Schizosaccharomyces pombe: one gene and its partners. The protein of the gene in region 2 interacts with the protein of the main gene of each other region in a biochemical or structural test. Each region holds a gene or a part of one and is shown on either strand. Other genes may lie near its edges.

The links. The genes of interacting proteins can lie anywhere in the genome.
Region 1: the proteins of mcb1 (region 2) and mcm2 form a complex in vitro, tested with the Schizosaccharomyces pombe proteins (one study listed by BioGRID).
Region 3: the proteins of mcb1 (region 2) and mcm3 form a complex in vitro, tested with the Schizosaccharomyces pombe proteins (one study listed by BioGRID).

The regions. Positions count from the first base shown.
Region 1 is NC_003423.3:1,189,217-1,197,184, forward strand, and holds mcm2 (MCM complex subunit Mcm2), read right to left. Parts: upstream 4,927-7,968; 5' UTR 4,893-4,926; coding exon 4,660-4,892; exon of another isoform or gene 4,441-4,659; coding exon 2,181-4,440; 3' UTR 1,992-2,180; downstream 1-1,991. Other genes in the region: COPII-coated vesicle-associated protein Sfb3, read right to left, coding at 1-1,596; ubiquitin protein ligase E3 component mlo2, read left to right, coding at 5,138-6,127; SPOM_SPBC4.06 (acid phosphatase), read left to right, coding at 6,798-7,968. UniProt on the Schizosaccharomyces pombe protein: Acts as a component of the mcm2-7 complex (mcm complex) which is the putative replicative helicase essential for 'once per cell cycle' DNA replication initiation and elongation in eukaryotic cells.
Region 2 is NC_003424.3:901,842-909,299, forward strand, and holds mcb1 (mini-chromosome maintenance complex-binding protein mcb1), read left to right. Parts: upstream 1-4,955; 5' UTR 4,956-5,042; coding exon 5,043-5,204; exon of another isoform or gene 5,205-5,248; coding exon 5,249-6,592; 3' UTR 6,593-6,958; downstream 6,959-7,458. Other genes in the region: DNA-directed RNA polymerase I and III subunit Rpc19, read left to right, coding at 1,260-1,331, 1,405-1,502, 1,551-1,627, 1,705-1,835; rce1 (CAAX prenyl protease), read left to right, coding at 2,425-2,787, 2,839-3,291; DNA replication factor C complex subunit Rfc4, read right to left, coding at 3,288-4,136, 4,192-4,303, 4,447-4,514; SUMO E3 ligase Pli1, read left to right, coding at 6,998-7,030, 7,083-7,458.
Region 3 is NC_003421.2:369,452-378,356, reverse strand, and holds mcm3 (MCM complex subunit Mcm3), read left to right. Parts: upstream 1-3,032; 5' UTR 3,033-3,270; coding exon 3,271-5,910; 3' UTR 5,911-6,679; coding exon of another isoform or gene 6,680-6,745; 3' UTR 6,746-6,810; coding exon of another isoform or gene 6,811-6,859; 3' UTR 6,860-6,914; downstream 6,915-8,905. Other genes in the region: spindle pole body half bridge protein, centrin Cdc31, read right to left, coding at 1-128; coilin Mug174 , read left to right, coding at 475-1,729, 1,767-2,392; qcr9 (putative ubiquinol-cytochrome-c reductase complex subunit 9), read right to left, coding at 6,680-6,745, 6,811-6,859, 6,919-7,004, 7,071-7,073. UniProt on the Schizosaccharomyces pombe protein: Acts as a component of the mcm2-7 complex (mcm complex) which is the putative replicative helicase essential for 'once per cell cycle' DNA replication initiation and elongation in eukaryotic cells.

The DNA of each region.
Region 1 (7,968 bases), on a different chromosome or scaffold from region 2:
ATAGCCTTGCTCTCTGGTAACACTTCTAAATAAATCTTGTTTAAGTCGAGATCCATCACGATCAGCAACAAAATTACTATAGTGGTAAATCTGCCCACCACTTAAGGTCGCAACACTTCCAACAGTAGCAACATCAACATAAGCAGTAGCAGTAAAGAAAATATCAACACCTATACCAGCAGTAACATATTCATCGGCAAGAGATGTATACCACTTGTCTTGGGTGTTCCAAAGATTCTTTTCATCAGAAGTCCCATATAATCTTTGATCTTCACGATGCCTTAATTTCCCCAATCCCATCGTAGGAAGAGCACTAACAAAAACAAAAGCTTTTCCACCTGTTTCCTTAAGAAGGAGTTTTACTACTTCCAGTGCATTGCCAACGACTGGTTCGGGAATTTTAACATCTTGAAAAATTGCAGGGAAACTGTCCAGCAATCTCTCAATGACAACTTTTGAAGCAATGGGATCAACAAAAAGACCGGAAGAAAATGGAACAAAGGGATTCTCTAAATCAGAAGCAGCTAACATATGGGGTTGCTCTAAATTAGGAGATAAATTGAAGAAATTAACGCTTCGATCAAAGCAGACAATAGCAATTTTGACATTAGGATCAAGAGGTACCGGTCCGTAGAGAATATTCCGAATAGCTTCAGCTGCAACCTTGGGAAGTCCTTTGGAGGAAGCTTCATAGGAAACATCAATCATAAAAACAAAGCGAGCCGGCTTTGGCGGATCCTCCTTTATCCAATAGTCCTTCCCCACTTTAAAATCAATAGTGCCAACATTTAATTCTGGACGAGACTCCACTCCATCATGCTGACTACCGACTAAAGGATTAAAACCATCATCATTAAAACTATTTTCTGAACCGCAAAGATTGCAAGTCCATTTACTACTTGCCATCGTGAATTGGATAAAAGGATTGATGTAGCCACGACATTTTTTGCAACGTGGGGGATTTGAATTTGTGTTATCTACAACGGGTACGGGTGCTTCATCAGGACGTAACTCTGCGAACGGTTGAACAATCATTCCCAAGGGGATTCCGGAAGCATTGCAAACATCATTGGTAGCTGGAATCGCGTAACTGGTAAACTGAACGAATTTGGAAGATGAATTTCCTTGTTCATACCCAACAAAATCTGTAGTGGACATAGGTGGAGAACCCTTTTCCATGGTATTGAATATTTGGTTTTTAAACAATTGCTGATCTTCATAGCGAACTTCAGGAGCCGAAGGTAATGCTGCAGGATCGAGGAGATTTGTATCATTAGAAAAAGATTCTGGAAGTACTGAGGGTGTACTTGGCGTAGGATAATTCATGGAAGGCGGGATAGCAGGCGACATGACAGGAGCCAAAGCTGGTTCAGCATCTGTCAATGACATATCATATGCATGGGCATCTTTATGTCTTCTAGCGCGTCGGGGTTGTGGAGCCATTGCACTACCTTGCTGTATATACATTTGTGCGTTCATTTGAGCAGCTAACTGAGTGTCAATTTCAGGGCCCCCATATGAAGCAATATTGCCAGCAACATTTTGCCTATAAGTCTCAGGATTACCGTAATTTCCAAACTGCCCGGGATAGGCCATTTTGTTTTTGTGTCAAGTTTACTTGGTGGATGTACGAATATAAGTAGGTAAGGGTAGGGCAAAATATATACCAAATAAAAAGACTGATTTGAAAGAGTAACACGATATAAATAATTTTAGATAATAAAGTGTGAAATTTGAGATTCTTCAGGAACATCAGATATGAACTGGATGCATTTCCGATTGTCAAAAGTTGACTTCCCTTTAAATTTGGAAATGGACAATTTAGCTCTATATGTAAAAAACCTCAGCTGTTTCAAAAAATGTCATTTCACATGGGCAGTGGCTCTTTAATGAAACAGCTAATAATATTGATACAGCGGAGAAAGTATCTATACACCTAGTATCTATAGCGAATAGTCAATAATGATATTCAAAACAAGTGTTATTAACCTAAATAATTTAGATTGACATTTTGAAAACTAAGAAAGAATGAATGTAAAGATAGGTATAAAAATGTAAAGCAAATTTTGATTGCAAATTATTAAAGGATAGATATATGCAACAGATGCAGTAACAAAAGGAGGGTCAAAGAACGGGGAAATCAAAATCACTGGACTCCATAAACTGATTGTGTCAAAAAATTAAATAAGATATTTAGCAAATGTTCTTGACAAACTTCGTTTAACACTCATTTTTTGGGCATTCACAAAGGAATCAATAATCACTTGAATGGCTTTGTCTATATGTGAAGGGCGCACAAACTCACTGAGCTGCATTTTTGCAAATGCTTCACTTAAACGGATAGCAGACTCCAGATGACGCACAGTAATAGGATAACTTCCAGTAGCCAGTGACTCGCGTCTCATATCGCTATAAAGTCTCGAAATCTTTTCTTCATCCATTTGCTGTAATCGAGGAAAAACTTTTTCACGAGCGAAATGGATATATTTACGAAGAAGATCTTGGGGAATGGGTTTGGCATCAATACCAGTCTCAGTAGGGACTTTCTTCAAGACATCCATATTCGGATCAAATGCAGGATGAGATCGAATATGACTTGATACAACAAAATTAGCTAGCTGTTCATCAATTTCAGGATTAACCGTGTCTTTGACGACCTGAAGGATGTCAAAACGAGATAAAATAGGTTCGGTCAGCTCAACATTTTGATTAAAAGGAATTGTAGTGTTATAACGTCCACCGATGGGATTAGCGGCAGCAATAATAGTGCACCTCGCCTGCAAGGTAGTCACAATACCCGCCTTAGAAATAGAAATACTTTGTTGTTCCATGGCTTCGTGAATAGAAGTACGATCCTGATCATTCATTTTATCGAACTCGTCAATCAAACAAACACCTTTATCTGCTAAAACCAAAGCACCCCCTTCCAAAGTCCATTCATTCGTAATGGGGTCTTTACGGACGGATGCAGTTAGACCAACAGCACTGGCACCCTGACCTGTGGCGAAGACAGCCCTATGTGCCGTTTTTTCAACATACTTAAGAAATTGAGATTTGGCGGTTCCTGGATCTCCCAACAATAAAACATTGATATCACCTCTAATTTTATGCTTACCGTTAATATTTTTGGGGACACCACCGAATAAAGCAGCAGCAATAGCAGTTTTGATAGAGCGATGTCCATAAATAGAAGGCGCCATCGATGCAATAATTCTGTTGTGAATATCAGGCGACTTTGCTAATGCCCGAATTTCCCTTTCCTCATCATCAGTAAGCCGACTTAAAGAGAAATCATCATCAGTATTACCACTGCCGTCAAGTTGCGATATGTGATTTGCTTCTATAATTGTAGCGAAGACAGGAAACCCGTTTTTGGTATTCAGACTAGCATCGAAGTTATTGCGGTATATGCCAGTAACATCAATCTCTTCGCCTGGTTTGGCAACATCAACCAAGTCCGCTAAAAGAATAACTTCACGGTGTCGAGGCAGTCTACCTGAGGGGACGGTGCCAGGTGATTCTTGTAAAGTGATCCTTTGATAGTTATTATATACAGTCCGTTCAGAGTTGATTACAAACGGACCACGGCTGGAACAGTTGTGACAGAAAGAAATTTTTACTTCAACGCTAGAGTCTTGAAAAAATGGACCCAAAGTAGCACCACATTTGGTACATGTAAACCGAATGTATTTTAATTGTGGAAAAAGCCCAGTGCGCCTAGTTACGACACCAGATACCCGTACAAGGCAATTAAGATGGGATTGTCGTAGATCGCGTAAAGTAAAACAAGTAGGAAGATTAGTGATACGAACATGAATATCAGAGTGTATTCTTTCATAGTCTGGATAATGCAAAAGAGTGGCTTCCAAAGCAACACGATCAAATATGCGAAAAATAGGTGCAGGCGCATTGGCCAAGAAATAAGCCAAAATGGGTTTAGATTCACCAAGATGGGCATAATTAACCATCAACGACTCAGCATTAACCTCACCCAATGTGCGAATACGGTTACCGTATACAGAGGTGCCATTTTCATCTGTATATTCAAGAAGGAAATTTTTGAATTCTCGAGCAATTGTACGCCGAACAGGATCAAGAGTAACCCATTCGGCAATACTATCGGCCTTTACGTCGGCAATTGATTCAAGAGGAAGTTCACCAGATTCGTCCAATGCGCCAACATTAGGTGAATATTCGTCGTAAATTCGATGTCGATGACGAGTGAAGCCTGTGCCAAGATTGGAGTCCAAATCATCATCTTCATCTTGTAAAAATGCAGCAGGTTTTGTTCTACCTGCAGCAGCATCGAGCTCAATATCACGTCGTCTCAACCTGGCATCAACAGCTCTTCGGGCCCCGATATCTAATTCTTCAAGATCGTTATCGTCATCTAGTTCTTCAATGTCATAACGATCTAGCTCCAAATTTTGTTGATAATCACTATACAGTTAGAAAAAAGTACCTTATTTGACGCGAAATGTGAAACTACTCTTTTGAAAATCAAGATTTGTTCTGTCAATATAACCGCAACCTAGGAATCCAATAAATATATTTATTTACAAGAAGGAGAAGAAATAGTATGTAATTTATATATTGATGGCAACACTTAGTATACACAACATTGACAAGACACGTCTCAAGCATAGCTATAAAACTTACCGTTCCATTCCTTCTCCGAACAAATCTTCACCTTCTTCATCCTCTACATCTAAAGCTTCTCCGTCCAGATCCTCAATATCCTCCTCCACGAGAGCTTCTGCAGCTTCATCAGAGAATTCTGGAGGAGGTGAAGAAGGAGGTAAAGAAAGAGGTGTAGCACCGAGAGAAGAATTTTCTGATTCAAAAGGTAAACTTTCAGAATCGCGGCGACCCCTTTTCCGAAAAGAATCCATCTTTGGACTCAAATACTTTAAAGATGTTGTTTCTAACTATTTTAATGCATTGAATAGCTAGAGTATTGCAGGATGAAAGAATAAGAAATGCTACAGTATATTGTTAAATTGTATTGGAAAATGTAGTGATACCTGTAAATGAAATAGAGGAGCGTAATGAGTTAGTGTTTTGAATTATTCAAAAGACATTCTTCGCAATTGTTTACGCCGTCTATTTGCCAACGTTTAGTTGCATTTAATAACTTATGGAGGAAACGGCTCATGAATTAACGGTTAAGCAATATGTTGAACAGCAAAGGGAGCTTGAAAGGGAGGCACGAGAAGTTTTGCCTTACAGCTTTGACACGTGCACTTATTCGATGGGCTATTTGAAGCAACCTTTATACGCTTGTTTGACATGTCAAAAAGCTAGCGGAAGCTTAAATGCTGTTTGCTATAGCTGCAGTATTAGCTGCCATGCTGACCATGATCTTGTGGACCTATTCAATAAACGACATTTTCGATGTGATTGTGGCACCACAAGAACCCACTCCATACCTTGTAATTTACGGAAATCCGTTGATGAATGTGGCTCAGAAAATGATTATAATCATAATTTCGAAGGGCGATTTTGCATATGTGATACGGTGTATAATCCAGAGACAGAGGAAGGAACTATGTTTCAATGCATCCTTTGCGAAGATTGGTTTCACGAAAAGTGTCTGCAGAAAACTAATAAAGGAATTGCAATCCCAGATGCTGAGACTTTTGAATGGTTGGTGTGTTCAGAATGTTCAGAAAAATACCGCGATCATCTTTTAAACCAGAAGCATGAAAGCATAGCTGGTACAGAACGAGCGCCTCTATTTCTTTCAGAAAACTTTAGGGAAAATTTGTGCCCTTGTGAATCTTGCATCAGTTTGCGTAATTTGGAGATGCCAATGTTGGTGGCAGAAGAACCTATTTACGAACCTCCTGAGGATTCTGAGGATGGAATCAGTGAGATGAATGAGGATCCCAGTGAATCTGGAGAAATGATTGAGCAAGTCATATCTAGCACAATGAATGATGTCCTTCGTATTTTGGACAGACTTCCTCGTGTACAAGCTAACGAAAGCGTTTATGCGTATAATCGCTTAAAATCTGAGCTAACGGACTTCCTCACTCCATTTGCTCGTGAAAATAGGGTTGTCACCAAGGAAGATATATCAAATTTTTTCTTGGAGCGATCTCGAATCAGTAAAAATTTACGGTAGCGTTAATAACTTTTTTGAATTCCCTTCTTTTTTGGCGTATAATTTAACGTCAAAACATGTAGGTTATACTTAATCTGGTGATGCTTTTTGTGAAACGCTGTTTATACTGGTGAAACCAGAGATATTTTCTATGTGCTTATGGTTAAACGTAATCATTTCTCTATCAAAAATGGTTTAATTGATTTTCTTAACAGAGATGGTTAATTTGAGAGGCTTACTGGGGCTTGTTGGTATACATGATTTTAATGATGATGACAAATTTGTATGTATATTTGAACAATAATTAATATATTGAACTTCTAGCTTTCTTGTCTCTCCTATTTTAACTGCACTCATTAAAATTTTTAAACCTATCTATAGTTTTGGTGGTTGCGTCTTTTATCTTTTATTTTTGATTGAGAAAGCTAAAGAGAAACCCTGTCTGGGTATTTTTTTTTTGTTATATCTCATAATGACTTTCATTTTAATTTTTTCCTAACAGTTTTTTAAGATTGAATTAACTTTATATTTTATTGTTTTCTTTTCATAAACAAAACTAATTTTCAAATAGTGTCGTTTCGTTAATATTCAGTAATTCATATTTTATATGAGCTTTGCGATGATGTTCAAGCATTGAGACCTTAGTTGACAGCAGCTCTTATCCAGCATCATCAACCACTTCCTAGCCGCCATGTCTCAAATGTCTTCAGCTTCTGTTAAATTCCCGGATTCAGTTCCCGGAGTCGATTATCCAAAACAGCTGCAACTGAAATATTTACAAGTCATATTTCGACATGGTGAACGTGCTCCCGTGAAGGAAAGACTTGGTTCCGCCGGTATCCCTAAGGATTGGAAGCTTTGTAATAATGCAAGGAGGTTTTTTGCGCAAATTAAAGGGGAAAAGGAATGGTCTGTGTTGGGTTTTGAAAGGAAGGTTGAGTCACCAGTTGACACGTCTCTTGCAGCACCAACTTCAGACAATTCCCCAAGTGGTGTTTGCATTCATGGTGAATTGACTGATTTTGGGCGTGTTACTACCAGAACACTTGGTGAGTATCTTCGAGAACGTTATGTCAAACAATTGAAATTCTTACCTGATGAATTGAATAACTACGCTGATGTTTATATGCGTGCGACTCCAATGGTGCGAGCCTTGGAGTCTTTAGAACATGTTTTTTCCGGATTGTATCCTGAGTCAAAGCGTAAGATGGGTTTACCTGTCATTTTTACGAGAAATTGGTCAGACGAAAACCTACTTCCTAATGAAAACAACTGTCCTCGACTTGTGCAACTATATGAAGAATTTGCAGAACGAGCTGCTAAGCTTTACGATCCCTTACTTGCAGGCCGTGCCTCTGAAATGATGAGTCAATTCATGAATGGTCAGCCTGTTAGAGTTGTTTCAAGCCATCCTCGTCTCAGTGGTTTGCTTGATACTATTAACGCTGCCATTGGTAGCCATGTCGACTTCAATCCCAACCTAAGAGATGAACAATGGTTACGCGATGCCGAAACTGCTGTTGTAGAAGAATGGTTTGGCGGTTATAAGGTTTCTAAGTTGATGCGTCAATTAGGTGCTGGAAGCTTGTTAAATGATTTAAGCATGAGAATGGAGAACTTCGTGGTCGCTGAAAAGAATGGTTCACCCTATCATCGTTTGGCCCTCTATGGCGCACATGATGTTACAATAGCTGCCATTTTAGCATCTTTGGACGCATTTGACTATCGCTGGCCACCCTTTACATCACATCTTGAAATGGAACTATTCGAAGATACATCAAGCAAATCCGATTCCCAAAATCAAAGCGGCGATAATAAGACGACAGATTTGAAGTTGTTTTCCGATGAGTCTACAGATGCCA
Region 2 (7,458 bases):
TTTCTTTTTCAAAGAATTGATCATTTAATAGAGACTTGAAACTATTAATCAATCTGGCACATTTATTGAAAAGTAGTGTCGTCCGCGAACAGTTGTGCTACAAACGAGTGTGCTTCTCAAATTGTTTCAGTTCAATAGAAAACTATTAATACGCAACAAACAAACAAAGAAGATGATTTTTAAATACTAGGACACGGTTCTTACGACACATTAACTTTAAATTACCAATTACCAGTACTGGCGAGGCGAATAATAAATATTAATTTTACTTAGTTAACAGTGATATTTTCTGAATATATTCTTTCTTTTAAAGTACTTTAATTAGAAATGATGAAGTATAATAAATTATAAATTGAGGAAATTTATACTTTTTATTGGAAAGTTTTTTATTTGTGATTATGCTGAATAAAAATGGCTTATTGAAACAATTGCTATATGATAGCTGTCGCAAAAATATAGATTTAAAAAAAATAAATAAATAAAATAAAAAATGAAGAACCGGCAATCAAATGTATCTTCTGGAAATCTTATTGATGCTAGTATCGTAAAATCAATTATTTAAAATGTCAAACACATATAAAAACCCAGCATATTATTTAAAAAAATGTCAATGAGATTTTTAGTACTTGCACTCTTCTATCTAATGCCATATTCGATGATGGTTAAAAATATCTTTGGAATAATCTCATTTATGATATGTTTTATATTTACTTCAATAGGTTCGGCTTAAGAGTTATACAGTAAACAATCAACATGCAAAACAGCCAGTGGTTCTTTTAACAGTAATAGTGTTACAAAAAAAAATTGATCATAGTTTTGTAAACATTTTGTATAATAAATGCTTATACTAAAGTCACGGCAGCAATCAAGTTTGATGATTAGTTGCTCATTTGTATGGGGTTTTTGTCAACATATAACTTGTGAGTGTCTAAAGACAATGAAATTTCTGTAAAGCTATAGGCTTAACTACAGTTATTTGACTAAATAATGCAAACACTGATAAAATACTTTAAAATTGAAACTCATTGACTCGTCAACAAAATCTTGTATTTTTTACCTGTCAACGATTTAACGCAGCCTCTTGTTGCTTCAGGATCATACGCTAAAATCTCTGCAAAAATATGCGTTAACCTACACTAAATACGGATTCTTCCTTTGGAAATTGAGCAGCGTTAGAAAATTTGTAAAGAGCCAAATATTGCTGTTTGCATAGAAGTTTCGCTGTATCTTTTCTTTTTTTTATAAAATAAACTTTAGACATGGCGGCAATGACAGACGTAACAGATCCTAGCTCAGTTGCTATGGAATCTGCAACTGAAAAAATAATTATCGTATGTGTTTGGCATAAGGATTTGATTTTCTTTAGCATTGTTCCTTCAATTAATATGCTAACTAAAGTTATAGCTTCCTGGTCATTCTGCTGATCTTACATCTGTGACATTTCAAATTCAAAAAGAGGACCATACGCTAGGCAATTCTCTTCGCTATGTCATTATGAAAAAGTAAATTGATATTAAATTGTAAACATATATTAACACTAATGTTTTCAGTCCTGAGGTTGAGTTTTGCGGTTACTCCATCCCACATCCATCTGAAGCAAAAATGAATTTTCGAATTCAGACAGCACGTAAGTGATTGAATGAAATATTAACTTATAGATTTGATTAATAATATTTTGGGACAAACTCAACTAACGAATTCAAGCTTCAACAACCGCTGTAGATGTTTTAAGAAAAGGGCTCGATGATTTGATTGACCTTTGTGATGCGGTTACAGAAAAATTTACTGAACAACTTCCTAGAGATACATCTACTACCATGGAGGTTGATGGATAAATTTGGTTATTTGTTCCCTTGGACTTTTCCATTTAAATTTCTATCATTCCATCAGCTGCAGTTTAGCAGGTAATATTTGGGCATTTCTAATTCCATTAAGGTCGGTGAAATAGTTAAAGAGAGAATAACTTTTATTTTGTTAGGGTATGGGTTGCTTACTTAAAATTGATGTTTTTATTTTTTAACGCGTGGTTAATTCTTCTCACTGAAAGTAGTATTTTTCATATCAATTGTACTTTTATAAATTATTGAAATTTTTATTGTAAAATCCGCTTTTTTTTTCAACAATTTCAAATTGGTCGCGTATTTACAAAGCGTTTATTTTCGTTATTGATATTGTCTGGCGTAACTTGCTGACATGCCATCTCTTCCTTGCACTTTATAAAAATCTGTATTAGCTAGCCTAGGATCATTGCTTTCATTTTGGGAAAGTAAAGATTTTTATGCTTTTTATTTAAGCTTTTATTCATAAACTTTGATTACCCATTATTTTCAATTGCTATTAATCACCCTTTTTATAGTAAGATAACCACGTAGCATTACCAGAGGAAGAATCGATTGGAAACTACATAATTTACAGTTTATTTTTATGAGAGTTTATTTAATTTCGTTCTTTTTCACGGCGATTTACGTTGTTTCTTTATACACGTTCCCAGTTGCTCGACCAAGGCCATCTCTTAATCGGAATGACCCGAAAGTTATTACGGCACGTTGCATAAGTGTCTTATTAGCATCATCTGTATGTTGTATTTTAACAAGGTTGATCATTGGCCCTTCATTGAATGTATTCACTTTCCCGACAGACCAAGTTTTGAAAAGTTTACTACACGCAGCAACTATATTTATTGGGCCCCTGTATGAAGTTTGGATTGTTGACAAAGAATATAGACTCTTCTTTATACATTTGAAAGACTGCCTGTCGAATGCGATTGCTTGGCGAAACATTATTATTGTAAGTATCATTAATTTCTTTATCACTCCACATTCTCACAAGTCTTTTTAGGGTCCTCTTTCTGAAGAACTTACATTTAGATGTTGCATAGTACCAATTTGTGAAGCTGCTGGGTGGTCAAGGCTTAAAATTATATTTGTTGCGCCTCTGCTGTTTGGAATGGCGCATATTCATCATACCTATGAATTTCTACTTGCCTATCCGAATGCATATATAGCTGCCGCTCTTCAAACTGTTGTTCAGTTTTCATACACCACAGTTTTTGGATGGTATACAACACATCTATTCCTTTCCACGCATAGCTTATTTCCTTCATTTTTAGTACATGCTTTTTGTAATTCAATGGGGCTGCCAACTTTGTACGGAAAAATTGGAAACAGAAATCAGACTAGGATTTATTACACGTTACTATTGTTAGGGGTTTTGATATTTTATATGACTTGGGGTATTACTGATTTTAATAATCATCAAGACTTTGAACCAAGACTGGTGCCATTAAACTAAATAATAAAAGACTCCGGCTTCATCTGTGACTTAGCAAGGCGACATACTAAACCACTTAACTGCAACAAGGTTTGCACACCCTCTAAAATAATCATATGAGTTTGGCCAATTTCCTTAAGCATTTCTAATCTTGAAAATTCCGGAATACTGTCCATTGTCTTTACTACTCTAAACATATTAGTGACAATGTCCACAGCACTGAACCCCAAATCCCATATTCCCTGAAGTTTTTCAAGGGCGACGTCGATGTTTCCAGATTGACAAGCAGTTAGCATGGCATGTATCGCTACAGGTGAAGGCTGATCGGCGACCCGGAAAACGTTTTCACCGTTCACAAGACCGAATCCAGCAACAGTGCTCTGTAGATTGTTCACTGCTTGACGCATATCACCTTCTGCTGTCATGATAAGGGCAGCCAAACCATCATCTGTATAATTGACTTTTTCCGCTTTACATATATTCAATAAACGCTGTAAAACCTGTTGATCCGTAAGACGTGAGTATCGGAGAATTGCACACCGCGATTGAATAGGTTCAATAATTTTGTTGGATTGATTGCAAGCAAGTGCAAAACGCGTTGTATTACTGTAGATTTCCATAGTTCTACGCAAAGCTTGTTGAGCTCCAGCCGTCATACTATCTGCTTCGTCTAAAATAATGATCTTATGCCTTCCAGGTGGCAGTATGACTTTTTTCTGTGCGAATGCTTTAATTCTATTTCTCACTACATCGATACCTCGTTCATCTGAAGCATTTAATTCTAATACACCTTCCTTATATGCTGGGCCAAGTAATGCATGTGCTAAACAAAGAATAGACGTCGTTTTTCCGATACCAGGCATTCCCTATAAATATAAGTCAGCATGTAGTATAAATAATAATTAAAAAAAAATAGGTTACCGAAATAACTAGATGAGGCATATTCCCTTCCTTGGCAATAACTTTAAGTCGGTCAATCGTCTCCTCGTTACCAACAATGTCATCCAGGACGATTGGACGATACTTTTCGACCCTATAAGTTTATAGATCAGCATACTATATTATATTGAACCTTTAAATTATGAAAAGATGCCTGAGTCACCAAGAAGCAATCGTAATAGCTGAACACTAAAACCTTCATAAAGGACGTTTTAATTGCTCATAATATATACATACCATGGCAGCTCATAAGCTACAGAGTTATTTTTCTCTCCAAATACTGATGATGATACTGCATTACTCATATTCAGTGTTATTGAACTAGTAACATCAGTACTGAGTTCCAGTGAACTAGTAAATTTGTTGAGTATTTTAACCACTGCATGGTAGTCACTTCACCCATCGCGAATAGAAAAGAGCATTAATATGTAAATCTGAAAATTTTTTTTATTCTTAAATGCACTATCAAAGCTAGCTTTAAAATATATGTTTGTACAATCGACACAAATGATGAAAACAAGCACATCAATATATTTATATTATTACAAAAACGATCAATAATCTGTAAAATTCTAATATTTTTCTCTTTTAAGAGTAGTAATAAGCAATAGATAACTCTTTAAATTCACGCCTTCTGTTTCTTAATAAATTAAGCTTCTTATTAAGCGAATTTATACAGCAATTAGTACATCGTTAGGTATATGCAACGCCATAGAAAAGGGTACTTAAAGTCAATCCGCTCACGTGAAATGAACATTGCACATTGCAATATCAACATCTTTTATCATTACTGGTTTCAATAGGTTTAAAGGATAAAATTATATATTTATAATATGGTAATTGCTTTATCTGATTCTTTTATCGAAAATCCAAGATCGTTTCTTCAAAGATTTCAGGATGCATTGTTTGCAGGATCTAAGCCCGATTTACAAGGCACTTTAGGCATCGATGAAGAAGTTTCTAATATTTTCGCTACAGAGGAAAGAATAAGAAAGGTTTGTTAAGTGGTTTTTTCTCTTATTTGACACTGAATATTTAGATTCCAAACTATCTTGACTGCAAATGGTCTGAGTTAAAGACTGGTCAACTACTTCGTCTTCAAGGTATGGTGCAAGACACCAATTTTGGGCATGAATTTTTTGCTGGAGCTGTAGAGGTAAATGAAAACATTTGGAGAGGCTGTAGATACATACTTGATTTCAGCGAAGATGAAATGCATTTAGATGAATCTAAAATTGTCCTAGATGAAAGATATTCACTGTTTCTGACAAATGTTCCTGGAGAAAGAACTCTTCCTGTTATAGAAGCTTTGGGAAACTGGGGAAGCGAGAGTCTGAAAGAACGGTCATTGAAGTACTCAAACCGCTTACAAGCAAGTAATGATACCGGCGTTTGTGTTAAATGCTATGGCGGAATGGAAACTAAAGTTCAAGTTTGTCAAGCAATCGATGTTATTGGAATTTATGAAGAACCAAGTGAATACTCGGATGGTTTACCCATTTTACACATGTTATGTTTTAAGGATTATACGCAATCAGCTACTCAAGCCCCTTCTCCTCAGCAAGCTGAGATCATTCGACCAAAAATATTAAAATATTTTGAAAAAGTCCTTGGTGAAAATATAGCTGCGGAAAGTCTTATGCTTGCTCTTCTTTCCAACGTTGTTCATAAAACCACTGGTTTGGTTATAGGTGGTTTTACTTTAAATTTAACAAATTGCACCTCTGAATTAGTGTCCCAGTTAGTTTCTGTGTTACGGCCTTTGATAAAAAGAATGGTGATTCAAAAAGTTAATGTCGCCGAGCTTAACAGGAAGCCGCTTTATCCCTTGAGTGATGGAGAGACATTAGATACTAGCCATTTGCAAGTGGCTCCTGGCACCCTTATAGTTCTTGATGAAACTGAACTATCGAGTGGAACCTTAAACGATGTCGGATGCCGTAACGTTCAGTTTTTGTCTTCCCTAATATCTCAACAGGATTTAACATTTTTTTATCCTTTCAGTTCTTTTACCGTTCACAGTAATGTTCGAATAATTATATTAAGCCATGGAAGATCTATTTTGCCAGCTGATGTCGGTTGTAGATGTAGAGGCGATTCTCCGGACACTATTGAATTTCCAACTGATTCGGATGAGCTGCAAGAGTTTTGTAATTTTTTTCACATGTGGAACATGCGTGCTAATATTCCCGAAAACATGCTGGATTATATTCAATCTACATATGTGAGCTCCCGTCAATATAATAAAGAAATCAATGAAAAAACACTTTCATTACAGATCAATTGCTCTCGTCTCTACGCGAAGAGTTTCGGTCGTCAACTGGTTTCAAGAATTGATTTTGAGGCTGCCCGTAGTCTAATCAATCATTGGACTGTCAACTGATTGATCGCATATTTTCTTATAATCAACATCATTTAACCAATGTTAGAAATTACTTTTCATGTCTTTTTGGAATTTCCAAGTTAATTTCCTCATTCATTCGATCAAATTCATCAAAAGTTCATTTATATTGTTATTTAATTATTACTACAAGTAAAGCTCACTTGCCCGTTTTTTTTTTGTTTTCTTACATTATCACATACCGCACTGCCATATACTTCCTTATCTTCAAATATTAAATTCAAGTTTTGCCAACCAGGCGTTTGCAGAGATTCAAGGAATAAATATAATTCATTGTATTTTTAGCTAAAATTTGATTTCTTTGTCTTTCAAATACCTATACGGAAGCAGTCATTGCATATAACATATGTGTAAATCGACGGTTTAGGCAAGCAGTCTAAAAACTCAATGAACCAGGCGAACTTTTTACAGGAGCTTCCAGTAAGCCCAATAATAAGATATTTACAAGTTAACTAACAAAATGAATGTTTAGAATGTACTAAAGCGACTGGAAACTGGTCTTATTATACCTCAACTGAAAGATATACTTCGTGTTTTTGGACTTCGTCTTTCAGGAACAAAAGCTGAGCTCATTACCAGAATTAAACAACTAATAGAGAGGATAGCTATAGAAAACAACACAACCTCTTGGGAAGCATTGAAAAAGGCAATCGATGGCGATGTTACAAGTGCCGTATGTATCTTAAAGTACAACACATATCAGATATATAGTGCTGCTGCTCCAATTGCTCCACCTAGTTCAGCTTCTGGAAATAGATCATACAGCCGTCCTTTCGCCCCAGTTGTTCATTCGCGAATACGATTTCGAAAAAGTCCCTTTTATGACATTTTGGAACAATTCAATGCAC
Region 3 (8,905 bases), on a different chromosome or scaffold from region 2:
AAAGCTTCATTAATATCTTGTCGCTGTTCCTCTGTAATCTCTACTCGCAAAGGCGCATATCCTCCCAACCTTGCAGGAGTCGGTGAAGATGCCCTTGAACGCCTTTTAGCCCGTGCGTTAGCAAACATGTAAATGTGGTGGTAAACAGAACGTCTTAAATAACAGCAGGTGTGTGAGTATTTACATGACACTTCTTGTACGCATTGATTCTAACAAAATAGTAGCACATCGTTAATTACTTTACGGAATAATATGGTAACAATGTTAAATTGACAACGTGTAGAACTTGTAAACAAACCATCACAATCAATAAAAAAGTCTTCATACTAGGTTTTTTACTTTGACGCATTTTTTTCAGTTAAGTTCTTTAATCATAATCTTTTTATGAAAATAAACACATAACCTGTAGGTGTTCACAAAAAATCCTCTGCACAACGAAACACTCGTTATAACTAATAGAAAAATATAGTCAATATGCTGCTGAAAGTTAGCAGTTGTGAACCTTTGGTTCCTATAAAACAATGGATTCATACGTCCCAACTTGATTTATCAGACTCATCTAGTTTAGTGGCTGATTTACTTTACAATATCATCAAATTCAACTTTTCCGGACTAGAAGATAAACGCGCTATCTTCACAGGTTATGAAAGTATTAAAAGGTACACCATTGGTAATGAAATGTTTTTACAACTCGCTAAGGACGGATTCGCTTTACCTGTCTCTATGTCGTATGGACTATTCCTAGAAGAGACAGATACTCTTGAGCTTCGTGCTTTACCAAGGTCTGAAGGCTTACACAGAGGTTGCGAGGTGCTTGTACTAAGACTAGATAGTCCAAATGAACTTAAAGAAAATATTAGAGAATGGTCGTCTAAATTCATGAATAGCAAGGCTTCACAAAAACAGCAAATGCTATCACCCGAAACGATGCAAAAAGTTGATTTAGCTGGTCGTGCCTCACCTCGTTATCAAGCTAATGATTCATGGATTTCTAAAAAGAGAAATGCCCCCTTGTCATCTATAAGTCAATACGCTAATATGCCCGAAAATTATGCTTTAAATACCAAAAAGTCGAAAATTTCAAATGAAAATGATACTATTTTTAAAGCAAATTTTCAACAAAACAAATATGAGTCTCTACATGCTAAGCAAATTTCTGCTTCCGATTTATCATTGCACCAAGAATTCGTTTCAGCTTCAATAGTACAGCAACCAGAGCTCAATTCATTGTTGACTTCTCAATCAAAGAATTCAACTCCTTCGGAATCTGACTCATCCTCTTCCGAATCTTCAAGCTCAGTTTCAGATTCAAGTGACCTATCGTCAACCAGTGATTCTTCTTCAGGGGATGAAAGTTCGGACACAGCGAGACAATCTTCTTCAGATACGATTTCTTCTAATAATGTATCGGTGTCAGTTTCTTTAAATACGGCGAACGAGTTTTCTTTTCCACAAGGAACCTTTAAAGCCGAAAATGAAGCAGTAGAATCTGAGGTCGCCCCTTCTTCAAGTACGCCTCCTACTGTTGAAGAAATATCTTATCTACATTATGATGAACCTAGCCAATACTACTTTTCCTCTCCTAGCAAATTATCTAGTGAAACCACCAAAGTTCATCGAGGATGTGAAAATACTGAAAAACCTTCAGAAGAAGGAAAAAATTTTACAACCCCTTTATCAGATAGTGTAGAATCTGAAAATACTTGGAGCAATACCTTGCGTTCAAGTGGTAAGTCCCATTATTTAGGTGTCAACTAACTTAGTAGTTGAGGACGATAATACGGGTGTTTCCGATGATAATAAAAAAAGCAAATTAAATGCTGAATTCGATGGCCATGTTAATAATATTTCAGTTCGGCCTCCCGGATCTGGTTCATCAGCTACAAAAGCTCGGAATCTTCGTCGTAAGAAAGCAAGAATATTGAAACGTTTGATGCAAGAATCTAATGATACTTTTTCAGCCAATGAATCTACCGTCGTTGCAAATGTTCCTGACTCGTATTTAACTAAAAATGATGAGGAGGATTCAGCATCTTTAGCTTCATTAAAAGTGGCGCCTAAATACGTTTCTCATCCAGTTTCCTTATCCTCCAATTCTTTCCATACTGAATTTCCTATTGGAAGTTTGATGAGGTTCACAGTCATGGATTTAAACCCAGTTACTTGTACACCTGAAATTTCAGAGAAAACCGGTCGCGTAGTAGATTGCAGTGAAGAAAAAGTCAAAATACAGCTAGATTTAGGAGATCGGCTAGACTTGAAATTTGATGTGAATGGAGAAGTCATTCGCAATAGATACGGGACCACGCCTGATGAAGAGTTAATTGAGGGAATTGCTACGTACGAATGGTCTTCACTTTCGAATGTACATAAATTGGAGCTTACAAATTAAAATTTGATACCTCAAGTCTCTGATGTTATGACTATAATTCTGAGAACTTATTTGTTTTTAAGAGCTGATTATACGAACTCTTGAAAAGTTTAACAGAAGGCAGAACGATAGAAGATGATCTGTTGTTCATGTGATTTCTTCAGACTTTTTAAGCTAAACGTAAATTTAGTTACAAGTTATTACGTTGGTGAGGTTTTGTATTCTCTCGCAGAGTGAAAGTCACCTTCTATATAAACATCTCAAGCATATAATTTACCACATACTCCCTTACGCTTCATCATATGTTAATCTTGTGTTTTTAATGGTTCTCTAGATAAACACATTGTTCATCCTCAAGTATATCTACTTCTATTTCACTCATATTTTAAGTGAGTATGAGGGTTGACTTCTTTTAGCAACTCTCTGTTCGTTTAATGACTTTACGATTACAAACTTTGGAATTGTTAACGAACTGTTCACTGTGGATTATACCAGAACAGTATTATTCAAAATTGTATATTAATATTATGAAAGAAATTCAAAAAGAACTCACTTTTAATAACTTTTTTTGTATTTATGTATTTACAATTTCGTTTTCGATCAAGTAACATTTTGTAACTTCGTATAGTTATAAAGGAAATAGTCCATCCAACATAAGAATACTTCTTCATCTATCGAAAACTTTATCAAAGTTTGGAGGGCAGTAATAAGCCTGTAAAAGGCTAGTATTGGATATTGTATTAAAACCTGTGCGGTTTGATTTAACTCACTTAAGTTATACGCGAAATCCCTACAGCATTCGATCAACACATTTGCTTGCAGGTATCGCATGATAAAATTGGAAACCTTTGGATATTTTTTTACAAGTTATAGGACGGTAATAAAAAGCGCTTATAAAAATGACTGAGCTGTTAGCAGATGAGGTTTTTAAAGACCGTGTTAGAATTTTTCAAGAATATCTTGAACATGACACTGATGATGCTAACGTTACCTTGTACCAAGAGGCAATCCTTAGAATGCTTAACATGGGTCAGCGTCGTTTAATTGTCAATATTGATGAACTGCGCGATTACAACCGAGAATTAGCTGATGGTGTTCTTTTGAAGCCTCTTGAATATGTGGAACCTTTTGATGAGGCATTGAGAAATGTAGTTAGCACTCTCATAGATCCTGTTGTTCATAAGGACCTAAAGGATAAGCTGTTTTACGTGGGTTTCAGGGGATCGTTTGGTGACCACCATGTGAATCCACGTACTTTGAGAGCCATGCATTTAAATAAGATGATTTCTCTGGAAGGAATTGTTACGCGCTGCTCTTTTGTTCGTCCTAAAGTAATTAAATCTGTTCATTACTGCGAAGCTACAAAAAGACATCATTTCAAACAATATGCCGATGCTACTATGAATGGCGGCCTTAGCTTTCAATCCACTGTATATCCAACACAAGACGAAAACGGTAATCCCCTATCAATAGAATTTGGCTTCAGCACCTTTCGCGATCATCAGTCAATTTCTCTTCAGGAAATGCCTGAACGTGCACCACCAGGACAACTTCCTAGATCAATTGACATTTTGTTGGATGATGACTTAGTTGATACTGTTAAACCTGGTGATCGTGTTAATATAGTAGGACAATATCGTTCTATGGGGTCTAAAACATCTGGTAATACAAGCGCGACGTTTCGAACTGTGCTGCTAGCGAACAATGTTGTTTTGTTAGGGAATAAACCTGGTTTGGGAAATGTTGGTGGTGGTGCATTAGACATCACTGATGCTGATATTCGTAACATAAATAAATTGGCCAGAAAAAAAAATGTGTTTGAACTTCTCTCTACGAGTCTTGCTCCCAGTATTTATGGCTATGAATACGTCAAGCAAGCAATTTTACTTCTTCTTCTGGGAGGAACTGAAAAAAATTTGACGAATGGAACTCATATTCGTGGTGATATAAATATTTTGATGGTTGGTGATCCGTCCACTGCAAAATCTCAACTTCTTAGATTTGTACTTAATACCGCTCCACTTGCTATAGCTACGACTGGTCGTGGTTCTTCTGGCGTAGGTTTAACTGCTGCAGTGACCACAGATAAAGAAACTGGCGAGCGTCGTTTAGAGGCTGGTGCCATGGTATTAGCAGACCGTGGCGTGGTTTGCATTGATGAGTTTGACAAGATGAGTGACATAGATAGAGTTGCTATTCATGAAGTTATGGAACAACAGACAGTTACGATTGCTAAAGCCGGTATTCATACTTCGCTTAATGCTCGGTGTAGTGTGATTGCCGCTGCAAATCCTATATATGGACAATACGATATTCGTAAAGATCCTCACCAAAATATAGCACTTCCAGATTCTATGCTTTCGCGTTTTGACCTTCTTTTCATTGTTACAGATGATATCGATGATAAAAAGGACCGTGCTCTCAGTGAGCATGTATTGAGAATGCATCGTTACTTGCCTCCTGGTGTTGAGCCAGGTACGCCGGTTCGTGATTCCTTAAACAGTGTATTAAACGTTGGAGCTACAAACGCTGCTGGTGTCTCTACGGAAAACGTTGAACAGGAAGTTGAGACTCCAGTCTGGGAAACATTTTCAAGTCTTTTGCATGCGAATGCTCGAACGAAGAAGAAAGAATTGCTTAACATCAACTTTGTGCGGAAATATATTCAGTATGCAAAATCTCGTATCCACCCTATTCTGAATCAAGCAACCGCTGAGTACATTACCAATATTTATTGTGGGTTACGAAATGACGATTTACAAGGAAACCAGCGGCGCACAAGTCCCTTGACGGCACGTACTTTAGAAACCTTGATTCGATTAAGTACTGCTCACGCCAAAGCACGTTTGAGCTCAGTTGTGGAAGTCAAAGATGCAAAGGCTGCGGAAAAAATTTTGCGTTATGCTTTGTTTCGTGAAGTTGTTAAACCGAAAAGGAAGAAGCACAAAAAACAACGCCTAGAGGCTGGTGAAGAGTTTGACTCAGAAGACGATAATTCCGATGACATGGATATTGAGGAATCTGAAGAAGAAATGGATACAAACATGGTCATTGATTCGGGATCGAGAAGAGTTACCCGATCTCAGAATGCAACTTCGCAAAGTCAAGAATCTGGTTCGGAGATTGGTTCAAGTATCGCTGGAACAGCTGGTTCCTATAATGTAGGAACATCAAATACCCAGTTATCATGGCCTTCCACTCACTCGACCTTACCAGCTACATCGAGAGAGCTAGCCAGCAGTGACCGTAACATCAATACAGGCACTAGCGTGGCTTCTGAAGTGTCGGCATCTGTGAGCGAGCAGAGCACAGTTTCATTACCTCGTGAGAAGATGTCTGTGTTCATGGCCCGGTTGGCTTCCCTTACAAAATCCGAGCTGTTCTCAGAAGAGTGTGCCTCTTTGGAAGATGTTTTGGAATCAATTAATAATATCGAGGATGATGTAGGATTTTCGAGAGAAGAAGCTATTGTGGCACTTAAAGAAATGGACGCTCAGAACAAGATCATGTTTTCAGATAATGTGGTTTATCGTATTTAATTTTGATTTGGTTAAGTTATTAAAAATCATATCGTGGTTCCTGGTTCACCTAAATATTTGCATTAGCTCTATTGCATGAAGACTTATGTTTGTTCAAGATCAAACTATCCCGTTATTAAATGGACAATCTGCTTTTTGCATAATCTCATTACTTTTTTGAAGTTTTATTTACTATTCTCACTCTTTTCATTTTTGCCAATGAGGCATTAGACTCATTTTATAGCAAGCTTACACTCTTGTTAATGTATTAAATTTGAAATGTAACGAGTTGTTCGTAAGTATTTGAAGATTTCAAATCGTATGCAACTAACGTCTGGTAAAGGTTGAGTCACACTCATAGTTCAAATTACTTTTTCAAAAATATACTTACAAGCTTTAAAACAATTCAACTCTGAGTGATGTGGTGTTCACACACGCCTGGTAGATGAAATTTTGAATACACTAATAATTACCAACTTCTTACAGCAGTTCTTTTAAAACTGGTTATTAGGTATTTTAATGAAAATGATAATGTTCGTTATTTAGTAAACCAGCTATAATCTTAAACAGCTGCTTGCCAGTTCAAATCGTGCAACTGAATGCACCCAACACTTCATACAGCGTGGGCAAACATAAAGGGAACGATAACACTGAAGATAGACTTTTTAAATGGGGTATTTGGTGATTTCAAAACAAGTTCAAAATCAGTCCTCAAAGGAGAGAAAACAATAAGCTAAAGCAGTCAATAACAAACAAAAGAATTGAGAAAATCCAAAGTCAAATGATTCTTTTATTCATCATCCTCAGCATCTTCGTCTTTGTTGAGAAAACGAGGCTTAACCTCGTCCCATGTTAACTATCGTCTTGTTAGCACTCGATATCCACAGTCGCTTCAATCATTCACTAATCGAAAATACATACCCCAGCATTGGCACGCTTCCAAACACTGTCTGTAAAAACGTCAAATCCACTAGAACATTAGTATAATTGAATCATTCGATAATAGTTAAACAACACAATTCCACATACATTTTAGCAAAAAAAGCAGACACAAATATAGTTGCGTAGAATGAAGAGTTTCTTCGGAAGAAAATATTGTAAATAGTTGAACTAGCCTAATTGAAATTGATTAAAATCGATCCAAACCATTGTTTTCAACATCTCGATATCCCTTTACTTACCATTGAAAGAGAGGGGAGTAAGTTGGTAATGGAATGCGAAAACTGAGCGAATAGCATCAGAAGGAAAGGGAATAGTGAGGAAGATCGTTCCGAATGCAAAAGATAATTTAATGATTTAACTAGCTTGTAATCGATGAAAGCGATATGGTAGTCCTCTCAAGAACTCACTATCATGATTCGCGCTCTGTATCACTATTTGGTAAATATCTAAAAAATTCTAAAACTATTACATGGCGAGAAACAATTTGTTGGTTAAATTTATTGATTGATCAGTTACCTTACTATTTATTAATGTATAAAATAATCTTGACTATCGATTGATCTAGCAAACGAAACAGCAAGTCTTGTATTTCTGCACGGTTTTCGAATAGAATCGTCTTTATGTTGCTTAAACATTCAGTATGCACATAGCAAGCCCTTTTCTAAACTTCGCTTTCATTTTCAAAAACCGCAATTATTATCTTTTGTACATCATCAGCTGGATTTAAGTAATGTAATCATTACGCTCTCTCAAATACTTGTAACGATTTCGACAAAAAATGATTAATTGATGAAAAGTCAAGTTGAGTTTTTGAACACGCTATGTTGTTAAAAATATTATTCTGGTTTGTCTGGCAGTACAATTGGAACAATATATGTTAAATGCAATAATACATTCGCGATGAAGGACTTTCAAGTACATGGCTATTTTGTGAATTCCTGTGTTTTCTCGATTGTTAAAACAAGGAGATTTTTGGCATATTTGAATTAAACTTGCCATTTCATAAGAAATTTCTATATTTAATATTAATAAAGTTTTTGGGCGTTCCTTTTTCCGCTATTTGCTAGCTCTTCTATACTTTGTTTACACTTTTAAATGTTTGACATATATGCTGCTAATCCTCAAATCGCCTCAATGAATTCTTTTTAAACCAAAAAGAAATCCAGAATTTGTAAAGAATGCAGTAATTGTATTTTGATATTCTTTGAGTATCAGTGAATATAAAATCCGATATAGCAATTGTATCGACTTTGTTGATAATCATTTAGCTTTTTACTATATAGAATAACTTATCTCTTTCAGATATGGAGTATTAATGTTGGCACGGGTTTGGTGTTTGCATTAATGCTTCAGAAAAATAAGTTACGCCAACAGTACTTCCACCTTTGTATAACCATTTTACCTATAAACTTATAATTTATTTCGTTCAGATGTATTTATTTCCTTTCTTTAATAACATTATGTCAAAGGTAGAAATATAAGCAACTAGTTAATTCAAATTTTTATACTTAGACATTCATGTTTTATGTATAAATTCTTTTCAATGCAAAAGCTTGAGCTTGATTATTCTAATAAATTTCAAAAAATTATTTTAATATGTACATATATATTTATAGGTTTTTTTGTCTCAATTGTCCGAAATATTTAGCTTTTTATTTTTATGAATTTTCAATATACACTGGCGATTCTCTCATGAAAAATGAAGCTACCTATAATGGAATAAATATTTTGAAATAGCACATTTTTTATTATATATGTGTTCTCAGTGACTATAGATTATCAGATTATTAAGGGAAGAGAGATTTGAAATAACATAAATTATTTGATATATTAAATTACCGCTCAAGTCAATCACCTCATGGTTTTTATGTTATTAAATAATTATTTTGTTTGACTTTAGGAATTATAAAAAATCACCTTTTTACTTCAGTTTGATTTTAATCGTTGCATATACGTAAAGTAATGTACTTAGAAAAATTTAAGTCCATAATATATGTCGCTAATTTCCCCTTTTTTCTTTTTTAAAAAAGAATAAAATAAAAAAAAAGGTACTAGTAAATTAGCAGTATAAGGT